Arabidopsis thaliana: one gene and its partner. The protein of the gene in region 2 interacts with the protein of the main gene of each other region in a pairwise test. Each region holds a gene or a part of one and is shown on either strand. Other genes may lie near its edges.

The links.
Region 1: the proteins of NTT (region 2) and ARR4 interact in a two-hybrid assay, tested with the Arabidopsis thaliana proteins (one large-scale study listed by BioGRID).

Annotation. Positions count from the first base shown.
Region 1 is NC_003070.9:3,442,450-3,446,210, reverse strand, and holds the start of ARR4 (response regulator 4), read left to right. Parts: upstream 1-1,850; 5' UTR 1,851-2,451; coding exon 2,452-2,629; intron 2,630-2,717; coding exon 2,718-2,794; intron 2,795-2,881; coding exon 2,882-2,959; coding exon of another isoform or gene 2,960-3,041; coding exon 3,042-3,112; intron 3,113-3,211; coding exon 3,212-3,587; 3' UTR 3,588-3,761.
Region 2 is NC_003074.8:21,368,735-21,372,495, forward strand, and holds the start of NTT (C2H2-type zinc finger family protein), read left to right. Parts: upstream 1-2,022; 5' UTR 2,023-2,201; coding exon 2,202-2,900; intron 2,901-3,761. UniProt on the Arabidopsis thaliana protein: Transcriptional regulator required for normal differentiation of the ovary transmitting tract cells and pollen tube growth. In Arabidopsis, the transmitting tract facilitates the transport of pollen tubes to the ovules for fertilization.

The DNA of each region.
Region 1 (3,761 bases), on a different chromosome or scaffold from region 2:
TCTTAAATTAAGACAAACGAGTAACTTCGTTTTCATCGAGATCAACATGGCCTCATATTGATGGTGAAATTTTTGATACATAAAGCTAGAGAGCACAATTTGGAAGAGAATAATTACTAGCTCACAAAAAAGTCTAAGAATCAATAGGATAGGAGATATAACTCAGACAACATAAGAGTGATACCAAGGAAGGAGAAAGACCAATCTATGTTATCCAACAAATGCTTTGTAGATTAGATATGAGCTTATGTTGACATTAATCTGGATTTTCGGATTTGAGATTCAACTATATTTCCATGTACGTATAGACTAAAATTGAGTTTCTATATGATCCATTGATCCTGTAACAAAATCTAGACGTCAAAATGAAAATATTCAAGTGTACATGATTTTGAGTATTGTATAATTAGGTCAACTAATCAATTACTTTTATTTCTACAAATATATTATACTATGTAGAAAATATTTACAATAATGATTAGAATATAAAGATGCTCCAAACCTCAATCGAGTACCAACATAAAATTAATTAAAGGGAAAATGTCAATGTCTTTAATTTTGTAATTGATGTCCAAAGTTCCTAGAAAAAAGATAGATTACGATTTTATGTGCGACACGTTGATGACTACTTTTATGGATTTTTTTGTTCAACCCTCGATTTTGAGTTGACATCATGAAGATTTGATCCATCATTCGTTGGCCCATATCGTTTGAAAAATCAATTCTCAAATCAATCTTAAATTTCGCGTAATTATTTTATAAAAATGGGCAATATATCCATTGTAAGATTTGTCTATTTCACGCGTCATTTTTCTTTCTACTTTGTTAGATGTTTTTGGTTAATGTAGAAAAACGATTAAATTAGAGACACTATCAATTAGAAGAAACAAAAGTCTTTTGATAAAACTCTACTTTGATCATCCACGACTGTGATCGATAACTTCTAAGCAACCTTGAAACCTGATCTTTTGAGCTTTAACTTTAAGTAGGAAAATGTCATAGTATTGGATTTGGTCGTCTTTAGTTTACATTCAATCTGGAATAAATTTGTTTCTCTAGAAAAAATAAAGAGCCAAAGAATCATTATATATATTTATTGTTCTCATGTTTATATACCTATTTTTTCTTAATAGTAGCTCTTTATTATCAAGAGATTTTTAAAAACACCTATATTGTCATAACATTTTCATAAAATTTTTAAAAATAAAATAGAAAATCAAAACATTTACCCTTTCAACAAAAAGAAATAATAATGATATTTTATATAAAAAAATATAATAAATGGGTGGGAAAGAGAAAGCAAAAGCGATCTCCAAGATTTGATACGGTGTGGTGTCTAAAAGAGTGAAACAGCAAATTATGTTTGGAAGATTAAAGAAAAAAAAGAAGAAGAGAGGTAAAGTCCAATTCCCCCTTTCATTAATACAAATTGTTCCCAACAAAATATTTATGGGTCCCTCTTTTAGATTTCCCTGGGTCCCGCGGATCCAAATTTTAATGTGGACGTCAAATCCTTTTTTTTTATTATTATTTGTCCACTTTCCTCTTCTTCTTTTTTTTTTTTTTGCCATTTGAAAACGATATAAATAAAAGTGTTTGGATAACATAAAATTTCTAGAGTCATATGGATGGATATACTACTAGTTAGGCGTATACTAATTTTCTCGTCAACCCACAAAACCCGATCTTAATATTATTCTATGAATTGCATTTGAACCATAAATTTTAAATTAGAAACTGACCAATCACATGGAACAATATAAAATTGTCTTAGTGGTTAGTACTTAATACAAATAAGACCAATCCGAAGAACCGAGCCGGTTAAGTTTAAACACGCTACTATGAATTGTAATGGTGTATGACCAAAATTAGCTTCTTTAATCTTCTGGTTTATTATTCTTAACAGTGAGTGATTCCATTTTCAGTTTTTTTTTTCCAATCACACTAATGAGTAATGACGAGATTTTGACTAAGAAGTTGTATATATCTCACGATGGTATATTTTTATTTTTTGGATTCCTTTGTACGGATTTCTTCTCCTCTATTATTTATTCGATTTTAGGAATATTATTTTCTCTATGATATTCGCATAGGCCCTCCACCGGATTTTCCATAAAATCTCTATTTATTAATACTATTGTTTTCAAAGATAAAAGTTCAATTTTTTCAACCCTAAAAGCACGGCACATAAAAATATATAATTTTCACATTAATAGGAACCAAAGATTTTGTTGGATTTTCCTCGCTGGAGATTTTTCAAAATAAAAATTGAAAAAACCAAAAAGACACACTCATAAAAGATTTATTTTAGAGAACAAAAAAATCAGAAATATAAAAAACTGTCTTAAGGAAGAGAAAGGAACAAAAGAAAACAGATGTGAGCTCTTCTTCTTCGTCTTCTTCTCTCTATTTTATTCTCATCCTCTCCTCACAGTTACTATAAGCTCGTCTATGGCCAGAGACGGTGGTGTTTCTTGTTTACGAAGGTCGGAGATGATGAGCGTCGGTGGTATCGGAGGAATTGAATCTGCGCCGTTGGATTTAGATGAAGTTCATGTCTTAGCCGTTGATGACAGTCTCGTTGATCGTATTGTCATCGAGAGATTGCTTCGTATTACTTCCTGCAAAGGTTCGTATTTTTTCAAAAAAAAAAACATCTTTCACTTTTTTTTATTCCTCGCCGGAATATTTACATCTCCGGTGGTATCGTTTGTCAGTTACGGCGGTAGATAGTGGATGGCGTGCTCTGGAATTTCTAGGGTTAGATAATGAGAAAGCTTCTGCTGAATTCGATGTAAGTTATTGAAATCTGATACAGCTTTTTGTTTTTTTTGAAGATTACGATTCGTGAGTTTGATTTAGTTTAAATGGATATTTTCAGAGATTGAAAGTTGATTTGATCATCACTGATTACTGTATGCCTGGAATGACTGGTTATGAGCTTCTCAAGAAGATTAAGGTCTGCATTTTCCCGCCATTTTCCTGTTTCAGATTACGGTTGTTTTAGTAACAATGTTGAATTTTCCGGTCATCTGAAACAGGAATCGTCCAATTTCAGAGAAGTTCCGGTTGTAATCATGTCGTCGGAGAATGTATTGACCAGAATCGACAGGTGTGATTCTTGTTGATTTCTTCACAGATTTTGGAGTTTTTAGAAACTGTTGATTGATTTGATAAAATTTTGTAAAAAAAAAAAATGATTTTTGAACAGATGCCTTGAGGAAGGTGCTCAAGATTTCTTATTGAAACCGGTGAAACTCGCCGACGTGAAACGTCTGAGAAGTCATTTAACTAAAGACGTTAAACTTTCCAACGGAAACAAACGGAAGCTTCCGGAAGATTCTAGTTCCGTTAACTCTTCGCTTCCTCCACCGTCACCTCCGTTGACTATCTCGCCTGAATCGTCGCCGCCGTTGACTGTTTCGACTGAATCGTCGGATTCGTCTCCGCCGTTATCTCCGGTGGAGATCTTTTCCACCTCGCCACTTTCATCTCCGATAGACGATGAAGATGATGACGTGTTGACGTCGTCGTCGGAGGAATCGCCGATTCGACGGCAGAAGATGAGGAGTCCCGGATTAGATTAGTGGAACTATTCTGGGATGCCGTGTAATATTATCTATCTCCGTTAACTTCGTTTTTACCTCTGACGGTGTTTTTAATTGCACGTTGACTTGACGCCGTCAAATTTTATAGATGTCCCTTTAATCTCTCGCGCCTCCACGTGGGCCTTTTTTCCTTTTCCTTAAAGCTTTTCGAAT
Region 2 (3,761 bases):
TTTTCTCATATAAATATTAAAACTCATAAAATAAATAAACAATTAACATAAGCAAAACTACATAATTTGGTTCATCGAATTAATAATTCATGTCAATAATAGAAAATCAAAACCCCCCAAAACTTTTACGAATACATACATTCCAGTTTTCTCTCGGGTCCTCGTACTTGATTACCAAATTTATTAATTATTGAATTCCCATATGTGTGTTTTCAATTTATTTATTTTTGTTTATTTTATAGTTAAAATTTTATGAGGAAGAAATCCATTATATGTGAATCTATATCCTAAAATGAATCTAACCTAGCATAAATATGGGATAATACTTCAAAACTACTCACAAACTTTGAAATATTGTCCTTCTAAACCTAGAAAGATATTATTTATCTAACCTTCTTCTTGTCTATATATTTTTGAAACTAGGTCATAGGAGTAGATTTTACTGATATTTATTTCTTTTCTAAACTACAAACACAAAAATTGTAAAATCAGAATTGTGTCCTAATTTATGCTATTTTTTTTTAATTAGCTCATGAGTCGGGAATGACGCCACAATTTTATTTAATTAATTTGTCCATCGGTATTTAGACAGTTACATTATTTTTCAAATTTACCCTGTTTCAAAACTATTTTTAAGTCTCAAACTGATAAGATATGGCTTCTTTTTTTCTTTTTTTGAGGAAAGGCTTTTAAGATAAGAAAATTTGTTTGGGAATTGGGATGAGAGCCATCTCCAAAAAGCAGTGACATTATCTTTGTATGATGTATCTGAACCTCATATGCTTTATGTATTTTTTTATTTTATTTTTTTGTCAAATATGTTCCTTTTTATATATTAATCCTGTTTCACTCATAGTGAATATAAATAAATAAATTCCAATTTTTCCGTGGAGCCAATATAGGTCGAACTCGAATAGCTTTTTGTTTTGTCATATTGGCTATAAGATTATTGTCTTTGGTATTTTAGCGTATGTATGTATACTCTTCAAGCGAGCCCTAATCCTCAATGTCTATTATTATCATCTTTATTACATTTTGACCTACTTGTATGAAATGGCATCCACTAATGCTTTTAATTAAGTACATAATCCACAGATGTGGAATATTTAAGGACTTTTATGATTTAAATATGTTAATACAAGTTCCTGTGCTATTAAGCCTTACGTAATCTGATAATGTTAATCAAATTAGATAATACATATAATTAGAGCCCCTTTTGTAGATTTACTTTAATTCGTTTAATTAGTAAAACAATCACCATGAAAAAATCGTCATATTCAAGCATAGTTTTACTCTCTCTTTTTCAACGACCATAGTCTGACAATAAACTAAGTGAATTCAGACTTGAACATACGAACAACAATTATTCACATCATTCAATGGTTTTGCATTCTTTTTCCTTATAAGATCCAGGTATAAGAGATACACAAATTGAATAAGGATCCAAAGTTAGATCTTTGTACGGTTTTTAAAAATACAATGAAGTAATATGTTATATAGTTCTGATGTGCAGGTTCAGACGCTGTGTTTACTTACCATGATCATACGTAGAAACTCTCAGTCACACGAATTATGAGACTATGATGTCGTCCGAAAATTAAGACATCTTATAATAGTAAGAAAATTAAAGAACGTGATTTGTAGTTTATAATTATAACAACTTATAAGATTTTGAAAACCTTTTAAATTGATTAAAAAATTATTTTAATTCTATATTCTTAACAAAAACAAATCACCAATAAAAAAAAAAAATCTACTATCTGAATTTCTAATGCTTACTGCCTAATCTATAAATGTTATCTTCAAAACATCGTAAACAGTCTTAACCGCACTGGTTATTTCTTAACCATCGTTTTATTTTTTTTATAAAGAATAAGGACCTACATATCTGAATGAAATAATTACTTTGCGTAGACTAATACACATTCGTATTTGACCTGCTTCTTTAGTTCCTTTTTTTTTTTTTTTTCGTTAAAGTCAGTTTTTAGTTTTCAGTCCATAATTAATAATCTTTCTCTCTCTTTTTCTCTTGCACCCAAAGAAAATCTCTCTTTGCAACCCAAAAAAAAAGCTCTCTCTCTCTCCCATCCCATCACAATCTCTCCATCTCCATCTTCATCTCCCATCTATGTCTCTTGTATAAAGATAATCCCACAAGTCTTAAAACTATTCCTTTCTCTTCCTCTCTCTCTCTCTTCACCATGACTGATCCTTATTCCAATTTCTTCACAGACTGGTTCAAGTCTAATCCTTTTCACCATTACCCTAATTCCTCCACTAACCCCTCTCCTCATCCTCTTCCTCCTGTTACTCCTCCCTCTTCCTTCTTCTTCTTCCCTCAATCCGGAGACCTCCGCCGTCCACCGCCGCCACCAACTCCTCCTCCTTCTCCTCCTCTCCGAGAAGCCCTCCCTCTCCTCAGCCTCAGCCCCGCCAACAAACAACAAGACCACCATCACAACCATGACCACCTTATTCAAGAACCACCTTCAACCTCCATGGATGTCGACTACGATCATCACCATCAAGATGATCATCATAACCTCGATGACGATGACCATGACGTCACCGTTGCTCTTCACATAGGCCTTCCAAGCCCTAGTGCTCAAGAGATGGCCTCTTTGCTCATGATGTCTTCTTCTTCCTCTTCCTCGAGGACCACTCATCATCACGAGGACATGAATCACAAGAAAGACCTCGACCATGAGTACAGCCACGGAGCTGTCGGAGGAGGAGAAGATGACGATGAAGATTCAGTCGGCGGAGACGGCGGCTGTAGAATCAGCAGACTCAACAAGGGTCAATATTGGATCCCTACACCTTCTCAGATTCTCATTGGCCCTACTCAGTTCTCATGTCCTGTTTGCTTCAAAACCTTCAACAGATACAATAACATGCAGGTTCTTAATTAATCACACTCTCATTAATCTAAATCTTTAACATATCTCAATACGCATTACTTTTTGAAGAATTTCGTTTTCTTTTCCATGTAAATCGACTTCTTTTTTCCCTTCATTATTCCGAGTAAACCCAAAAGGTAAAAACCAAAGAAAATAGGTTTGCTCACTAAATTTCCTCGAAAAAAAACAAAAACGTTTTCACCTTAAATCGGTAAATAAATATATATAAATACATACTGTTTTCAAATCAATCAGAGGACGTGTCTTTGCTCACTGATGCATGAATAAATCATTGCATTACAAAGAACCGAGAGACTTGAGACTGTGAAGTCTGAGACTGAGATTTAACAAGACAGTAAATGTTCTTTATGTCTTTAGTACTTTCAGAGTCTCTGTGGTTTGCTGCTTTTCACTACAATATTGGCAAGTGTGTCACCCTTTTTTTGTATGAGAGTCTTCAAATGTCTAACGTGTAAAATAACAGTACTGATACGATTTCACAGACCCATATTTCAATTAATATACATAGATACATATAAGGCTTCATTTGTTTGCTACATATATGAGCTTGATAAGATTTTGTACTGAACATAAACTAAGCATCTTTTTCTTTTTAAGTTTTGCTTAGTTAATTTGTTAACCTAAGCATGCATTGACATATCTTATTATTATTATTATTATTATTATTATATATATATATATATTTTTTTTTTTTATGAAATTCGTTTCTATAATTTTGATTACATTTCAGCATTTGTTTGACATCTTATTGTCTTTTTACATATGCTTCAAGGTTGATCTGCTAATTAAGTTGCGTCTGCTGGTTAGAATAATCATCATAACATTGATAATCTATGTATG